2 linked regions of the Caenorhabditis elegans genome follow. The protein of the gene in region 2 purifies or fractionates together with the protein of the main gene of each other region. This does not show direct contact. Each region holds a gene or a part of one and is shown on either strand. Other genes may lie near its edges. The genes, in order: nsun-2 and cct-6.

Region 1 (9,639 bases), on a different chromosome or scaffold from region 2:
CCTTTTTTTTTCCCCAATATTCGTAGAAAAATCACTATTTTTGCTTGATTTTCTCTCGAAAATCCAAAATTTCAGAAAAATCGCAAAAACATGAGGTTTTCCAACTATAGTTTTCATCCAAAAATCAGAAAATCACCTTTTTCCATCATTATTCCATCAAAATTCGTTAAACATAATTTTTTGTCGCGAAAGTTAAGATTTTTCCCAAAATCCCTGAGAAAAATCCGAAGTTTTCGAAAAATCGCAAAAAACCAAGTTTTCTAACTATGTTCATCCACCAAAAATCAGAAAATTCAACAAAAAAAGAACAAAAATCGTAAAAAAAAAATTTTTTAGCGCGAAAATTGAGTTTTTCCCCCCAAAATCTCTGGAAAAAATCACTATTTTTGTTTGATTTTCACTCGAAAATTCATCGTTTTTCAAAAAATTCGAAAATCCTAAAAAATTCAGATTTTCCCAGTTTTTCGCGAACATAAATGCAAAATTCTCTGAAAAATCACATTTTCACCAAGTTTTGTCTCAAAAATATCGAAATTTACAAGTTTTTTTAACTAGAAAAATGTCTGAAAATGTCATTTTTAAACATTATTCCTCCCATTGTTAATTTATTTTTTCTTGTTAATCATTTTCCTAAAAATGTTCGGTTTTTTACCACTCATTCCCCCCGTTTTTATGTGTAAACTTTGGTGTTTTTTTTTTAAAATAATTTTACCCCCAATTTTCCAGAAAAAGTCTCAAAAATTGAGATTTTCATATAAAAATCCGGTTTTTCCCGCAAATTTGCCCCCTAAAAATGCAATTTTCCTGGTTTTTGCTTCTTTAAAATCATTATCCTGCTGTGTTTTTTGTCTTTTTCGTTTTTGTGGTATTAAATTTGAATTTCTGGTGTTATTTTTTATTGAATTTGATCTTTTTTTTGGTTAATTTTACCCTATTTTATCTCATTTTTCTCTAGGGTTTCGAATATTGATCTTAAATCAAAATCACCAATTTTTGGCGGATTTCTTGTTTTTTTTTGTTGAGAAATTGAATTTTATTTGAAATTTTCAGGCTTTTCTAATATAAAATTCCCGAAATTTTCAGAGAAAAACCTCAAAAAATTTACTAAACCTTTCGTAATTTTCAGAAAAAAAGTTCACAAAAAATTTTGAAAATTTTCTGGAAATTTCAGATTTATCTCAAAAATTCACAAAAAAATATGAATATGAAATAATTTCTTAAAAATTGGAAATAAATTACAATTTCGTTGAAAATTGCCATGATTTCAGTAAAATTTCAGGCTAATTCACAAAAAATTCGAATTCTGTAAATTTCAACCTAGAAATTCAAACAAAAAAAACTCAGAATAATTTCAGAAAATTCCAGATAATCTGAGAAATTGCCATGTAAAATTGCCGAAAATTGTAGAAAAAAATCGCAAAAAATTGGCAAAAATTTCGGAAAAATCTTTTAAAAAAACCTTGAATATTTCAAGAAAAAATCGCAAAAATCTGAAAAAATTGGCAAAAATTTCGGAAAAATATTCTGAAAAATTCCAAAAACCCTCGAATATTTTACGAAAAAAATTCTTAAAAAATCCGGAAAATTCCCGCAATTTTCAGAATAATCTTTTTTTTTCGGAAACCGCAGAAAATTCTTTAAAAAAAGCTCAAAATTTCTGAAAAATCTTTTTTAAAAAACCTTGAATATTTCACAAAAAAAATCGCAAAAAATCTGAAAAAATTGGCAAAAAAATCCAAACCAAATTTTTGCAGAAGGAAAAATAATGAAAAAGTGAATTGATATTTTTGGGAATTATTAAAAAACCTGAAAATTTTCCAAAAAACGCTATTTAAAATTGCCGAAAATTTCAGAAATGTTTTTTTGAAAAATTCAAAAACTCGAAAAATTGGCAAAAAAAGGGAAAAAAATTTATAAACTTCTCGAACATTTCTGAAAAGTCTAAAAAAATCCCCAAAAAATTTGAAAAATTGTGAAAATTTCAAAAAAATCTGAAAATTTCCAGAAAATTCACGAAAACAATCTGAAAATTTTTCGACATTTTTAGAATAAACTAGAACCGCCCAAAAATTCGAAAACAATTTTTTAATAATTCTAAATAATCTCAAACCAAACAAAAAAAATCTGAAAAATTTTCGAAATCTTTTTGAAAATTAAAAAAAAAATCCCAAAAATTCTGTAAATTCCCTGAGAAATTTCCGAAATTTTTTTTGTAAAAATTGTCCTGTAAAATTCTCGAAAATTTCTGAAAAATCAAAAAATAAACTTTGAATATTTCACAAAAAAAATTCCCGAAAATTGGCAAAAATTTCTGAAAAATATTCGAAAAAATGCAGTAAAATGCTCGAAAGTTCCAATTATTTCTAAAAATATTTTTGCAGAAGGAATTACAATTTCCTTTTAAAAAAAAGAAACAGAAAAATTCTTTTAAAAATCTGAAAAAAAACGAAAATTTCTGAAAAAAAAATCCAAAAACCCTCGAGTATTTCACGAAAAATATCCCAAAAATTCGAACAAAAATCAGTAAAATTCCCGCAATTTTCAGAATAATCTTTTTTTTCAGAAACTACAGAAAATTCTTTTAAAAAAAGCTCAAAATTTCTGAAAAATCTTTTTTAAAAAACCTTGAATATTTCACAAAAAAAATCGCAAAAAATCTGTAAAAATTGGCTAAAATTTCATTAAAATATTCTGAAAAAATCCATAAAAACCTCGAATATTTTACGAAAAAAAATCCTTAAAATCTGAAAAATTGGAGAACACTTCAAAAAAAAATTCAAAAAATTGGCAAAAAATAGAAATTTTTGTGAAGGAATGGTTTCAACAGGAATTTAAAAATTGTTTTTCAGAGTCTTTTTTTCAAAAATTTCTTTTTTTTTCCTATAGTGAAATATTCAAAGTTTATTTTTTGATTTTTCAGAAATTTTCGAGAATTTTATAGATTTTTTTCTGAAATTTAATATTTTTTCGACAATTTTCTGGGGGTTCTTTTTGAAAAGATTTTACAATTTTTTGCCAACTTTTTGAGTTTTTGGATTTTTTCAGAATTTTTTTTCTGAAATTTCCGGCAATTTTACAGGACAATTTTTACAAAAAAAATTTCGGAAATTTCTCAGGGAATTTACAGAATTTTTGGGATTTTTTTCCAAAATTTATTCTCAATAGAAATTACTAACAAAACCCGAAAATTTGCAATTTTTCTCAAAATTTCAGGGTTCAACGTTCGCCGCTAGAAAAAAACGCGCCAAAAACGATGGTTCACAGTAGCCGCCGCAAGTTCAAGAGCAAGAATAAGGGCCATGAGCCGAGAGAAAATGTTTGGCGTGACGATCGTGATGCTCCAGGCAATCAGGGATATCGTATGGTGGAGAAGGAGAATGAAAAGTATTGGCAATATTATAAGGAGCAGAATGTCTTTCCATTGGAGCAATTTGACGAGTTTCGGGCGGCTCTTCAACGAGATTTGCCTGTTTCTTTCAGATTTCAGGGTTGTCATAAGTTCGTTTTTTTTGAAAATTGATTGGATGGACAAAAAATGTGTGAAAAAATTAATTTTCCACGGATTTTCAGTTAAAATTATGAATTTCAACGTAAAATTCACAAAATTTGGCCTAAAACGCTCCAATTTTGTGATTCTTTTTTTGCTCAAAAACAATTAGAAAAAAATTGATTTCCCACGAATTTTCAGAGAAAGAACTGAAAAATTTTCCAGACATTCTGATTTTTTTCAATTTTTTTGCTAAAAAAGTTCAAAAAATTTTTTACCGACATTGAATTGATGAAAAATTCAATTTTTTGCAAAAAAAAATGGACATTCTCGCTGAAATTTAATTAAAAATTTGAAAATTGACAAAAAATTCTAAATTTCTAAAAAAAATTACCGGAAAATTTGAAAAATTTTTGGAAAATTAACAAAAAAAAAATAAAATTTTTGCAAATTTCGCAGAAACTGCAAAAAATTCTAAATTTTCCCGGAAATTATCAGAAAATTTCAAATATTAGTGAAAAATTTGACGAAAATTATGAAATTATTAACGGAAATTTCGAAATTTTGCAGAAAGCTGATAAAAATTCAGATTTTTGTATAAACTCAACGAAAAATTCCAAATTTTTGCGGAAATTTAATTGAAAATTCAGAAAAAAACATATAAAGAGCAGAATGTCTTTCCATTGGAGCAATTTGCCTGTTTCTTTTAGATTTCAGGGTTGTCATAAGTTCGTTTTTTGAAAATTGATTGGATGGACAAAAAATCTGTGAAAAAATTAATTTTCCACGAATTTTCAGTTAAAATTATGAATTTCAACGTAAAATTCAAAAAATTTGGCCTAAAACGCTCCAATTTTGTGATTCTTTTTTTGCTCAAAAACAATTAGAAAAAAAATTGATTTTCGACGAATTTTTTGGAGGAAAAACTGAATTTTTAAGGTTTTTTAGCTCAAAATTTGGATATTTAAAAACCCAAAATTTGGATATTTTTGATTTAAACAAATTAAAATTCCATCTTTTCCTCTAAACATTTGGGGAAAACTGTAAAAAATCTGATTTTCCAAGGGTTTTAGTAAAAATTTTGCGAATAAACTGTTAGAAAATTCAAAATTTCAGTGGAAAAGTCAACGAAAATTTTAAAAAATTTCACAGAAAACTGTTGGAAAACTTAAAATTTAACGAAAAATCCAAAAACAAGATCTACCAAAAGAAGATCTACGTTTTCAGGATCTGGCACCGTGCCAACTGCGGTTTTCTCGATGAAAAACGTAACAACGATGCTCCGATGTTACGCGTCGCGTGTTGTTAAGCGTTTCTTCTAGAAGAAAATTTCAAAAAATATCTTTCTGAACGCTAAACAACACGCGACGCGTAACATCGGAGCATCGTTGTTACGTTTTTCATCGAGAAAACCGCAGTTGGCACGGTGCCAGATCCTGAAAACGTAGATCTTCTTTTCGTAGATCTCCTTCTCGTAGATCTTGTTTTCGTAGATCTTGTTTTTGAACAGATCTTCAAAACGTGGTGCCTCGAAAAATTAAAAAAATTTTGCAGAAAATTGACGAAAAATTCAAAATTTTAGAGGAAAATCAAAAAAAATCATTGAATTTTTCTGCCGAAATTTAATGAAAAATTCGAAATTTTTGAACACTATTTAACAAAAAATTCAAAAATTTTGCAAAGAAAAATAACGAAAAAATGTTAAAAATTTAGTAGAAAACTGACGAAATATTAACAATGTTTGCTGAAATTAAACTGAAAATTACAAAAATTTGCAGAAAACTAACGAAAAAAAAATGTTTGGTGAAAAATCAACGAGAATTCCAAATTTTTCCAAAAAATTAGCGAAAAATTTTAATATCATGCAGAAAACTGATGAAAAATTGAAAATTTTAGTGGAAAACTGACGGGAAATTCAGTGTTTTTTTGCCGAAATTTAACGAAAAAATTTAACAAAATTCAAAAATTTTGCAAAAAACTGATGGACAATTCAATTTTTTAGTGGTAAATTAACGAAAAAGTTTGAAAAATCTTGCAGAAAACTGACCAAATATAAAAAATTTTCGCTGAAATTTAATAAAAAATTTAAAAAATCAAAAGAAAATTGTCGAAAATTCAAAATGGTTCCTAAAAATTAACGAAAAATTCAATTTTTTCAAAAAAAAATTCTGAAAAAATCCAAAAAATCCTGAAAGCTCTGAAAAATAGGCAAAAATTTCATTTAAAAATTCCCCCAAAAAAATCTCAAAAATTCCGAAATTTTTGATGAAATTTTCAACTGAAAATTCAACAAAAAAAAACTTGTTTACAGAGACCGCGAGCAGCTGATCCATGAGATGGAAAATCGATTTTTCGGGAAAATCATGGAAGCCGGAGACACTGCTGTATGTGTTCCAAAAAGTCTTCCATGGTACAAAGAAGCCTATCAAACGCCAATGTCACGTACCGCTGTCCGAAGTCATCCGATCCTTGCACAACTTCACAATTTCCTTGTCACAGAGGCTGAACTCGGAAATTTGTCCCGACAGGAGGCGGTTTCAATGATTCCACCACTTCTTTTGGCTCCAACTTCTGAGCATTTTGTGCTTGATTTGTGTGCGGCTCCGGGAAGCAAGACCACACAACTTTTGGAAATGATTCATGAGAACGAGGAGAATCCGAGTACGAAAATCGCCGAAAAAATTCCAAAAAAAATTAGTGATTTTCAGAATAATCGAAAAAAAATTCTTGAAAATTTCTGAAAATTCGAAAAAAAAAATTTCGAAAAAAAATCAATAAAATTCTCGTAATTTTCATAAAAATCGGAAACCGCATTCCCGAAAATTAAAAAAAAAAGTACAAATCAACGAAATTTTTTCCAAAAAGTTTCAGAAAATCGCAAAAAAATTCATAAAATTTTCGAAAATTTCTGAAAAATTAGTGAAAATTTAAATTTCATTAAAAAAAAATCTTTAAAATTCCAGAAAATTCACGAAGACAATTTTTTAAAAATAATTCTAAACAATCTCACAAGACCAAACAGACCAAACAAAAAAATTAAAAAAAAGAAAATTTTTGAAAAAAATCCTAAAAACTAAAAAACATTTTGTAAATATGCCGAAAAGTTCATTTAAAAAATTCGAAAAAAAAATCCAAAACCCCTCGAATATTTCAGAAAATAATTCGAAAAAAAGCTCAAAAAATTGGCAAAAATATAGGCAAAGTTTCAAAGAAAAAATCAGTAAAATTCTCAAAATATTACACAAAAAAAGTCCCCAAAAACTCAAAAAAAATTGGCACACATTTTCATTAAAAATCCAAAAAAAAAAATCTAAAAACCCTCGAATATTTAACGAAAAATATCCTAAAAATTCGAAAAAATCAGTAAAATCTCTAATTTTCAGAATAATCTTTTTTTCAAAAAACCACAGAAAATTCTCGAGAAAAAGCTGAAAATTTCAAAAAATCAGCCAATTTTTTGCAAAGAAACGGAAAAAATCCAAAAAACTCATGGAAAATTCGAAAATAAAATCTCAAAAATGTTAGAAAAATCTCTACACATTTTTCGAAAATTTCTGAAATTTTTTTTAAAAACTCCCGAGAATTGCAAAAATTCCCAAAAAAAATCTAAAAAATTCCAGAAAACACGAAAAAATTTGAAAATGTTTTGAAATTTTCAGAATAATCTAAAACCGCTGAAAATTCTGAAACTATTTTTTTTTTAATTGAAAAAAAAATAAATTAAGTTTCACAAGACATTTTGAAAATTTTGGAAAAAATCCCAAAAATTCTGTAAATTTCAACTTAAAAATTAGAAAACAAGCTCAGAATATTTTCAAAAAATTCCAGAAATAATCTTATAAATTTTTCGAAAAATGTCTTGTAAAATTGCCAAAAATTTCTGAAAATAATTCTGAAAAATCCCAAAAATTGGCAAAATTTCTGAAAAATCTTTTAAAAAACCTTGAATATTTCACCAAAAATTCCCAAAACTCTACAAATTTGCAAAAATTTCAAAAAAAAAATTCAAAAACCCTCGAATTTGCAAAAATTTCACGAAAAAAAATTCCAAAAAATTCGAAAAAATCAGTAAAATTCCCGCAATTTTCAGAATAATCACTAAACAAAAACCACAGAAAATTCCTTTATAAAAAAAACTCAAACTTTCAAAATTTCTGAAAAATCATTTAAAAAAACCTTGAATATTTCAGAGAAAATATGCCAAAAATTTGAAAAAATCTTGCAATTTTCAGAATAATCTTTTTTTTTTCAAAAAAGAACCACAGAAAGTACCAAAAAAAAAACTGAAAATTTCAAAAAATCACACTGCAACTTTTTTCGAACGAGGGACGAGGCAAAAAGGTTTCTAGGCCATGGCCGAGGGGCCGACAAGTTTCAGCGGCCATTTATACTGCTTTGTTTTCCGCCTGTTTTCTTTCGTTTTTCACAGTTTTTTCCCGTTTTTTCTTATTAAAACTGATGAATAAATACTTTTTGCAGATGCTAAAACAATTTCCAAGTAAAAAAATTATGTATTCAGTGGGCAAGCAGCGGTGAAAGTGGTCAATGCAATATGATGGATTACGGGAATACAAAACCTAAACTTTTTCTTAAACATGATACATATGCTGCTCTGATGCTGAAGCTACCTGATTTTCATAACGAGACCGCTGAAAAAGTTTTGAGGTTTCCAAAATTCAACTTTTTTGGTGGAAAAGTAGAGATTTTCGCACAAAGAGTTGAATTTTGAAAATCTCAAAACTTTTTCAGCGGTCTCGTTATGAAAATCAGGTAATTTCAGCATCTAAGCATCATATGTATCATGTTTCAGAAAAAGTTTAGGTTTTGTATTACCGTAATCCATCATTTTACATTGACCACTTTCACCGCTACTTACAGACTGAATACATATTTTTTTCATCTGGAAATTATTTTAGCATTAGCAAAAAATATTTATTTATCAGTTTTGATAAGAAAACACGGGAAAAATTGGTGAAAAACAAGAGAAAACAATGCAAGTACAAAATGTCGTAAAATGCGGTGTTTTGTGTGCAAACACCGATTTTTCGCATTTTTTCTCGGCCCTCGTTCGAAAAAAGTTGCAGTGAATCAGCCAAAATTTGTTTTTTGCAGAAGGAATGGTGATCGCAAACGACGTCGACATGAAACGCTGCTACATGCTAATCCATCACACACTGAAACGTTTCCGAACAGCCGCGTGTGCTGTAACCTGCGAAGACGCCGCCCGCTTCCCACACATCTCCGACTCGGATGGTGGCCTAATCCAGTTCGATCGTGTCCTCGCCGACGTCATTTGCTCGGGAGACGGCACACTTCGAAAGAATCCAGAAATCTGGAAGAAATGGACTCCACAAGATGGTCTTGGATTACATCGAATGCAGATTGCAATCGCGAGAAAAGGAGCTCAACAACTGAAAGTCGGCGGGCGAATGGTCTATTCGACGTGCTCAATGAATCCGATTGAGGATGAAGCTGTAGTTGCTCAGTTGCTCAGAGATTCAAAAGGATCACTGAAGCTTGTGGATACTTCATCATTGCTCCCAGAGCTTAAACGAGAGACGGGAGTTGTTCAGTGGAAGGTTTTTGATAGAGATATGAAGTTGTACAAGTCGTTGGAGGATATTAGTGAGGAAAAGATGAAAAAAGTGATTGTTAGCTCACTCTTCCCACCGACTGAGCAAGAGGCAAAGGAGATGAACTTGCATTTTACGTTAGTACTTGAAAAATAAAACATAAATTTGAAAATTTGAAAAAAAAAATCTCTGAAAAAATTCTTAAAGGTGGAGTAACGAAATTTGGGAAATGTTTTCAAATGCACGGCGTGTAAATTGGTACCTCTGGCCTAGAAAAAAGCTTGAAAAACAAATGTACGCAATCACGGCCCGAGAAGTGGTACCTGTACGCAATTTGTCTACCGTATACCTGGACGTTTGGGCGCGTGTATCTCAAAAACGGTTGGTCCAGTTTTTTTGTGATGCATATAAAAAATGTCCGAAATTAAATTCTAAATTTTTTGGACCAAAGCTTTTTTCGTTATCACGCGCCCAAACCTGGTCTACACTCAAATTATCAGTAGAGCGCATTTGCATGGATGTACCACTTGCCGGGCCGTGGCAATTATGAAAATGCGCGTGGTGTTTGCGGACTTGACT
Region 2 (9,542 bases):
GGATTCAGGTTCTTCTCGACGGAATTTGGCTCTGCAGCTGATTTATACACATTCCACCAGTTTGTGCTATCATTCACAGTTAAAAGCTCATCACCATCCCAAGTTGGTTCGGAATAGTTGATTTGTTTTCCAGTTCCGTCCTTCAGCGTCACCTCATTGCTGGATTCTCCACCTTTGAGATCAGCCATTCGGATGGATGTCTCGTCCCATGGCATATTTGGAAGGCTCCATTGCATCCAGACAAGCTTTTTTCCATCCGGGGAGACTCTTGGATAGGCGTAAAAGTCGGCTCCGTGAGCTATGACGTTTTGATTCTTGGTTGCTCGGTCGATGGAGATTAGTCGATTTTCGGGAAATTTTGCATCAGCTTGGTGGGTTTCATTAACACAAAATACATGGGTGTCAGTGGCTGAGAAGTCGGAGAATCTGAAAATGTTTTTTATTTATTTTTGAAAGTTATACACCATTTAAATTATCCCTGACCTAAACATTCGATTATTTCCTTCTGCCAATTGCTCAACTCCGGAATCCGCCGACTTTTGATAGAAAACTCCTTCGATCGTAGCAAACAGCACTGATCCATCAGCAAGAACATGTAGAGCACCTCCTCCGTACTCGTGAATTGCAGTTTGAACAGATTGACCATCAGCCCAGCGTGTACGAGTATCTCCATTCGTTGGTTTTGAGTAAAGCTCTCGTTTTCCAGTTACTGAATTCTGTTCAATCCAGTAGACATTGCCACCGACAACTTGCATCTCGCAGATAGACTTGCAATTACATTTTCCGAAGAGATCTGGTGTGATCGGACTATCCCAACTTCCGTAGACAGCTTCAGTTGCCATTTTTCGGGCACTTTTTATGCTGTAAAAATAGTTATTTTAAGAGAAAAATAAATATATTCGAGATAAATTCGTCAATATTTACAATGAAAGCGTTTTTGTAATTGTGAGGTTTGTTTGTTTCCAAAACAATCAATAAAATTCAATTTGACAGACTTTCTAAGTGGATTAGTTTAAAGTTGTTTAAAAACATTTTTAGAAAAAACTCTTAATTTATAAAACAGGCATCACCTAAACATACAAAAATGCCATCATTATAATAATTGTATTTAAAAAAAGTAAAACTTGCGTTGGGGCAGAAAACAAGCGGAAGATTCGGAGAAGAATCTGCGTGAAATTGAATTTATAGTTTTAGGAAATGACTTAAAGTGATGAAACCAATCAGCTTATCGGTTTTCAAGTATGCGTACGGTTTTTCACCAGTCTCGTCAATTTTATGACATATATGCTGAAAATATGTTGCACTTTATTTTGTGGAATGAATAAAAAAGGAAGTTTATTGAACAAACATTAAAAAAAAAACTAAGCATTTGGAATGATATGGCACAAAAATTCAAATCACAAAAGGAGAGGACAAGAGTTGAATTACACGCAATTTTAGAACGGAACTGAGAATAATTATGCATGAAAAAAAAACATCTCAAATTGAATGAGAAATGAATATTTACAGAAAATCTAAACTAAGCTATTCGAATTTAATTCCCTGAGCCAAAGGAAGTTCCTTGCTGTAATTGATCGTGCAGGTGGATCGTCTCATGTACTGCCTCCAGGAGTCGGATCCTGATTCGCGACCTCCACCGGTCTCCTTTTCTCCGCCGAAGGCTCCTCCGATCTCTGCGCCAGATGTGGGAATGTTGACATTGACGATTCCACAGTCACTTCCTTTTGGTCTGAAAATTAAATGTTAGTTTTAAATTCACAATTTCAGAAAATCTCACCCCATCCATTTGAAAACATTTTGAATATTTGTTGTAAATAGAGAAGAACTCAATCCTTGATCAACTTCATTATTGATTGCAATAGCTTCCTCGAGGGTTGAGAACTTCAGAACATAGAGAATTGGGGCAAAAGTCTCGCGAAGAACAACTGGAGAATCGTGCTTCAATCCAGTGACAATTGTTGGGAGAACAAAGTTTCCATCCCTCTCAAGAACTTTTCCACCGTACTCAATCTTTCCTCCAGAAGCAACTGCTTCGGCAACTGAAGCCTTGTACTTTCCAACGGCCTGTTGGTTGTGAAGTGGGCCAATAATTGTGTTGGAATCCAATGGACATCCGATTCTTGATTCAAATTGAGCATAAGCTTTCTTCAATCTCTCGAGAACTTGATCGTAAACCTTATCGTGAACAATGAGTCTTCTCGTGGTTGTACATCTCTGTCCAGCAGTTCCAACGGCGGCGAAAACTGTTGCCGGTACAACCATGTTCAAATCAGCATCCTCGTTAACAATGATAGCATTGTTTCCACCGAGCTCGAGTAGAAGCTTTCCGAAACGAGCCTGAACTTGTTGTCCAACGATCTTTCCAATTTCTGATGAACCGGTGAATGAAACTAGATTGACTCTCTTATCCTTCACAAGAGCTTGACCGACATCACCCTCTCCACAGACAAGGGAACAGAGAGCTGGATTTACATTATTGGCAACAAGAACCTCCTCGACAAGTCTGAAAATAGTTATTTAGTGATTACAATTATGAAATAAGCGAGCTTACTTGGTCACAGCAATAGCTGTCAATGGTGTGGATGGAGCTGGCTTCCAGACAACAGAATTTCCTGTGACAAGAGCTAAAGCGTTATTCCATCCATACACTGCACATGGGAAATTGAAAGCCGAAATCACACCAACAACTCCAAGTGGATTCCATTGTTCGAGAAGAGCGTGTCCTGGACGCTCAGAAGGAAAGATTTTTCCTTCAAGTGATCTAGAGAGTCCAGTAGCGTAGTCGCAAATATCGACGTATTCTTGAACTTCTCCAACTCCTTCGGCAGAAATTTTTCCCATCTCGAGGGACACGAGCTTTCCCAGGTTTTGCAACTGCGTACGGAGCTTGTCTCCGATTTGACGGACGATTTCTCCACGTCGTGGTGCTGGTACCTCGCACCAATCGTTATAAGCCTTTTTAGCTTCAGAGATGGCGATTTCATAGTCTTGTACGTTTCCATTTTGTACCTGGAATTTGAAAGTTTTAAAACGTTTAGGGTATGTTTTTGAAACTTACATTAGCAATAGGGGAGTTATTTGCTGGAGCAAATGACTGAACAACTTGTCCACTCGCCGCCCATTTTCCATGAAAGACTCCGGCGTTGTTCTCCGTGAGACCAAGCTCTTTCAGGAATCCGTACTTTGAATCGTTGATCAGCAATTGCGACGCCATTCTGGTCTGCAAGGTAGCTGCAGACATTCCACTGCTCAACAATCGGTTCATCTGGAAACAAAAATATATTATTGTTAGACGCTTTGAAACAGAAGGTATTAGAAAACGAAGAGGTTAGTGGTCAAAAAACAAGAATGAATTGAAAAATGTTCGAAGGAGATTGAATGAAATGTATGGGCGGAGCGAGACACGGGCAGATTGTTTATGACGACGAAAACTGAGATGAAATTGATTGTTAATCAAGGAATTCAAGGACAGATTGCAGATCAATATCTATAAGACTATAGAATGCTGTAAATTTTATGACGTGGAACATGATACAAGGCTAATGATTTACAGCGGTTACAAGTTGTGTTTTTATGGCAGGCAACGTTTTATATATCTGATTGCAGAAACATTTTTCAAAAAATGCGCTCATAGCTCATGAAAAAAAAAATGCGGCATGCCAGTCCGAGGTAAAAACGAAGAAATGACGAGTCACGTGACTATTAAAAATATGAAACCACTTCGTGATAATTATAATAATTCTTTGATTATTAATATTAACTCATTCCCTTGTCATAAATATCATTTTCTCAGTCGTGATCTGCGGAATAGTAGTATTCTGCGTATTCGCGGCAAAGAAGGCGTGCAGCCGGTTGATATATATTTAGTTTCCGAATCAATGATGATATGAAGACAACCATGATAAAGAAGAACACAATGCAGTGACCACTAAAATTTGTGAAATGGAAATTGTGGAAAATTGCAGTCGCTTGCTCGACACAAAAAGAGCTATTCGGCTTATACATAACTTCAGGATAAAATTAATTCCCAGAAATTCAAATAAAAACACAGATCCACTTAGTTTGTATATGTTTCGTTGAAAAGGCGAATATTCGCACAAATTTCAATCTCTCGCACAATTTTTAACTACGGGAAAGCTAACAACATGGAATTATTGTGTCAACTTAATTGTAAATGTTTTAAAATGTTATTTTCACTGTAGAGTGTATTAAGCAAAATGCATTACATTTTTGAGCAATTTCAAATAAATCCCAATTTGGAAAAACTTGCAAAGAATTTGAATTCCCGGTAATTTTTTTCAAATAAAAACGCTTACCTTCTTAGCTGCTTTTGCAGCAACTGATGCTGCATTGGCAGCGGCCGCGCATCGTTTGCATCGTCTTATTCCCGAAAAGGGTGTATTGGGGCATTTTTACTGCGGAACAATGTAAATAATGAAAAACCTAATTTTGAAACACCGCGTAAATCCTCCCCGAAAAGCGTAGAATGTCTCTGCGTGGTGAGACCCAGTTGCGAAATTGTGTGCGCCTTTAGAAGCGAATTTATTTTCTAGAATAAATTCAAACGAGAATCATTGTTTTTCAAGGATTTCTGTTGAAAGTCTTTATTTTTTATTTAAAAAGTTATGTAATAATACATTTTAGAACCTTTTTGAATTGTAATATGCTCTCGAACCTTTTTATGCGTGTCTATTTTCCTCTTGAATCGTTTTCCAATCTCATTTCTCCGTTTTTTAGTTTTTGTTGGTTTTACTGAGATATTTCATAGTTGAATTCTTGTTTTCAGGTAGTATGTCGTCAATCCAGTGCCTGAACCCGAAAGCTGAGTTAGCTAGGCATGCTGCCGCTCTCGAGCTTAATATTAGTGGAGCTCGTGGACTTCAAGACGTCATGAGATCGAACCTCGGACCAAAGGGAACTCTCAAGATGTGAGAATAAACTGATCAAATGTATAATTGAGACTATAATCACATTTTCAGGCTCGTATCTGGAGCTGGGGATATCAAATTGACGAAGGATGGAAATGTCTTGCTTCACGAAATGGTTTGATCGTTTTGTTCAGATTCAGCGTTTAGCACTATTTAATTTCAGGCGATTCAACATCCAACAGCCTCAATGATTGCCAAGGCTTCGACGGCACAAGACGACGTGACTGGAGATGGAACCACATCCACCGTTCTCCTTATCGGAGAGCTCTTGAAACAAGCCGAATCTCTAGTTCTCGAGGTGATCAATTTCCAAAGTTTAACTTTAAACATTTATTTAAAATTTTAGGGTCTTCATCCACGTATTGTTACTGAAGGCTTCGAGTGGGCTAACACAAAAACCCTCGAGTTGCTTGAAAAGTTCAAGAAAGAGGCTCCCGTTGAGCGTGACCTCCTTGTAGAGGTGTGCCGCACTGCTCTTCGTACCAAACTTCATCAGAAACTTGCTGATCACATCACCGAGTAAGAAACAAACAATTAAAAAGTAGTAAAAAACATTATCTTCTTAATTTCAGATGCGTTGTCGACGCCGTTTTGGCAATCCGTCGTGATGGAGAGGAACCAGATCTTCATATGGTTGAAAAGATGGAAATGCACCACGACAGTGATATGGATACCACACTTGTTCGTGGATTAGTTCTCGATCATGGAGCTCGTCACCCAGATATGCCAAGACACGTTAAAGACGCTTACATTCTCACTTGCAACGTTTCTTTGGAATACGAGAAGACTGAAGTCAACTCGGGACTTTTCTACAAGACCGCCAAGGAACGTGAGGCACTTCTCGCTGCCGAACGTGAATTCATTACTCGTCGTGTTCACAAGATTATTGAGTTGAAGAAGAAGGTTATTGATAATTCTCCAGATGGTAAGAATAAGGGATTCGTTGTTATCAACCAGAAAGGAATCGATCCTCCATCTCTTGACTTGCTTGCTTCCGAAGGAATTCTTGCTCTTCGTCGTGCCAAGAGACGTAACATGGAACGTCTTCAGCTGGCCGTCGGAGGAGAAGCCGTCAACTCAGTTGATGATTTGACTCCAGAGGATCTTGGATGGGCTGGACTCGTTTACGAGCATTCCCTTGGAGAAGAGAAATACACGTTTATCGAGGAATGCCGTGCTCCAAAATCTGTGACTCTTCTTATCAAGGGACCAAACAAGCATACCATCACTCAAATCAAGGATGCTATTCATGATGGACTTCGTGCTGTTTTCAACACCATCGTTGACAGTGAGTTTAAATTTTATTAACTTCTGTTCTAGTAACCTATTTTCAGAGGCTGTTCTCCCTGGAGCTGCTGCTTTCGAAATTGCTGCCTACGTGATGTTGAAAAAAGATGTTGAGAACCTGAAGGGACGTGCCAAGCTCGGAGCTGAAGCGTTTGCTCAAGCTCTTCTCGTTATTCCAAAGACACTGGCCGTAAATGGAGGATATGATGCTCAGGAAACACTTGTTAAGCTTATTGAGGAGAAAACCGCCGCTGGACCAGATATCGCCGTTGGACTCGATCTCGAAACCGGAGGAGCTGTCGAGCCACAAGGAATTTGGGACAATGTGACGGTGAAGAAGAACAGTATCTCGTCGGCGACAGTACTTGCATGCAATCTCTTGCTTGTTGATGAAGTGATGCGCGCTGGTATGACCAACTTGAAGCAGCCACAACCAGAATAAATATTAAAATTGTTTTTCTATTCCCCCCAGTGTGTCCGTTTCTATGATCTGTTGCCGTGTTTGATAATATTCCCCATCCCGTTCAACAAGCCCAACTTTACCGTTTGTTTTTATAGCTTTCTTCGAGCGATAATCAACAAAGATCGATCTGTTTTCTTTTTCTTTATTATCCCCCAATTTCTTAAATTTTCATCAAAATTTATTGCTTTTCATTTGAGAATTTGTTGATTTTTTCATGCACGTTCCTTTTTGATTTTGCGCAATAAAGGCTTCTTGCTTTTAATATTATTATGATTGGTTTCCGGTTGTGTATGTGCGCGAAGCTTTATTTCTATAGAAAATTAATATGATATTCGGAGAATTGACATTTTCGAATGTCCCGCTAAGAGAGCGCGGCCTAACAAATACCACCTCGGTCGCGTGTATTATATACGAAAAGGGTGAATGCATTTCTGTAGGTTTATGTTAAAAATTGGTTTTTTTACATTTTCCCATTGTAAAAGCATATTTTTAATTAGTTTTCCAAACATTTAAGTTCTTAAATTCCAGAGAAATGGCTGCTGAACCTCCATCACTTGAGGAACTTCTGGAAAAGAAGAAAAGAGAAGAAGATGAATTGGCAAAGGTATGTATTATTTTTTAATATCTCAAAAAACATCGCATATTTTTTAAAAACCAAACCATTTTCAAATTTTCAGCCAAAATTTCTGTCAAAAGCCGAGCGGGCCGCATTGGCTCTGAAACGAAGAGAAGAGGAGGTCGCAAAACTGCGTGAAACACAAAAACAAGCTGAAGAAGCTCGAAAAAATTGGGGACGCACCGAAAAAACATCAGACGATAGAAGAGATCGTGGACTTGACCGAGGCAATGATCGTGACAGAGACCGTGAACGGGAACGTGATCGTGATCGTCGACGGGATCGTCGGGAGAGAAGTGGTTCTCGAGATAGACGACGAAGGAGCAGGAGCCGTGATCGTGATGGTGGAAGGCGTCGAGATAGAAGTAGAAGTAGAGATAGAAGGGATCGAAATGATGATCGGAAAAGAGATAGAAACGAGGATAGTGATAATGAAGAAGATGTTAGTAAAATGGCAGATGCTGTTAAAGACAGATATCTTGGAAAACAGAAGGAAAAGAAGAAAAGAGGACGGAGACTTCATGAGAAAAAGTTTGTTTTTGATTGGGATGCTGGAGAGGATACATCACAGGATTATAACAAATTATATCAAAGTCGACATGAAATTCAGTTCTTTGGAAGAGGATCTGTTGCTGGAACGGATGTGAATGCTCAGAAAAAAGAGAAGAACTCGTTCTACCAGGAAATGATGGAAAATCGAAGAACTGTTGATGAGAAAGAGCAAGAGATGCATCGCCTTGAAAAAGAACTGAAAAAAGAAAAGAAAGTGGCTCATGATGATCGTCATTGGAGAATGAAAGAACTTTCTGAGATGTCTGACAGAGATTGGCGTATCTTCCGTGAAGATTTCAATATTTCTATTAAAGGAGGCAGAGTTCCACGACCTCTTCGTAATTGGGAAGAAGCTGGATTTCCAGATGAAGTCTACCAAGCTGTCAAAGAAATTGGTTATCTGGAACCTACACCTATTCAGAGACAAGCCATCCCAATTGGTCTTCAGAATCGTGACGTAATCGGTGTAGCTGAAACTGGATCAGGAAAAACTGCAGCTTTCCTTCTACCGCTGCTTGTATGGATCACAAGCCTTCCAAAAATGGAACGACAAGAACATCGGGACTTGGGTCCATATGCTATTATTATGGCTCCAACAAGAGAATTGGCTCAGCAGATTGAAGAGGAAACCAACAAGTTCGGAAAGCTTCTCGGTATCAAGACCGTTTCAGTAATCGGAGGAGCCAGCAGAGAAGATCAAGGAATGAAGCTTCGAATGGGTGTTGAAGTGGTCATTGCAACACCAGGTCGTCTTCTCGATGTTCTGGAAAATCGATATCTTCTCCTGAATCAGTGTACCTATGTGATCCTTGACGAAGCTGATCGAATGCTTGACATGGGATTTGAACCAGATGTTCAGAAGGTTCTGGAGTACATGCCAGATACAAATATGAAGAAAGATACGGATGAATTCGATAATGAAGAAGCTTTGATGAAGGGATTCTCAACAAGAGAGAAATATCGACAAACTGTCATGTTCACAGCTACAATGTCTTCAGCTATCGAAAGACTTGCCAGACAATATCTCAGAAGACCAGCAGTTGTACATATTGGATCTGCTGGAAAGCCTACAGAAAGAGTTGAACAGGTAATTTATTTTATTCTTGGTAGAAAAGAAAAATAATTATGAGAATCGTTTTTCATATTTCGACATTAAGCTGAACTAGAAAAATTACTAGAACTAAGGCAGCTTCCTAAAGTAGCTTCATAAAAGTTGTTAACTAAAATTTGCTAAAAACTAATTAAGAACACCCAAAAAATTGTTTTTTAACTGAAAAAAGTGAAAAATTGTTTGGTTTTTTGTTGGTTTTCTAAAAAATAAAATCAAAAAATTAATTTTTCGTCAAATTACCAAAAAATGCCAAAAAAAAGTCCCATCTCTGGATTGAAACCACGCAGAAAGGGGGAATTCTGTTTTCAGTGTCTTTTTTCAGAGGCTAGTATTTTTTAGTAAGAAATTTCAAAAAAATTTCAAGTTTTTTAAAAATTCCAAAATATTTCGTATTCAGGTAGTCTACATGGTTCCAGAGGATCGTAAACGTAAGAAGCTCGTCGAAGTGCTCGAATCACAATTCCAACCACCGATTATTATTTTTGTCAATCAGAAGAAAGGTGCTGATATGCTCTCAAAAGGTCTTACCAAACTTGGTTTCAAGCCAACAGTTCTTCACGGAGGAAAAGGTCAAGATCAAAGAGA

The links.
Region 1: the proteins of cct-6 (region 2) and nsun-2 fractionate together in Caenorhabditis elegans (co-fractionation; one large-scale study listed by BioGRID). This does not show direct contact.

What each region holds. Positions count from the first base shown.
Region 1 is NC_003279.8:1,189,945-1,199,583, forward strand, and holds the start of nsun-2 (tRNA (cytosine(34)-C(5))-methyltransferase), read left to right. Parts: upstream 1-3,213; 5' UTR 3,214-3,253; coding exon 3,254-3,498; intron 3,499-5,798; coding exon 5,799-6,148; intron 6,149-8,599; coding exon 8,600-9,197; intron 9,198-9,639.
Region 2 is NC_003281.10:5,850,932-5,860,473, reverse strand, and holds cct-6 (T-complex protein 1 subunit zeta), read left to right. Parts: upstream 1-4,786; 5' UTR 4,787-4,791; coding exon 4,792-4,928; intron 4,929-4,979; coding exon 4,980-5,043; intron 5,044-5,091; coding exon 5,092-5,226; intron 5,227-5,274; coding exon 5,275-5,447; intron 5,448-5,500; coding exon 5,501-6,216; intron 6,217-6,262; coding exon 6,263-6,657; 3' UTR 6,658-6,944; downstream 6,945-9,542. Other genes in the region: dpf-4 (Peptidase S9 prolyl oligopeptidase catalytic domain-containing protein), read right to left, coding at 1-426, 484-842; alh-9 (Putative aldehyde dehydrogenase family 7 member A1 homolog), read right to left, coding at 1,525-1,729, 1,778-2,503, 2,552-3,009, 3,059-3,265; ddx-23 (putative ATP-dependent RNA helicase DDX23), read left to right, coding at 7,211-7,282, 7,356-8,933, 9,355-9,542. UniProt on the Caenorhabditis elegans protein: Molecular chaperone; assists the folding of proteins upon ATP hydrolysis. Known to play a role, in vitro, in the folding of actin and tubulin.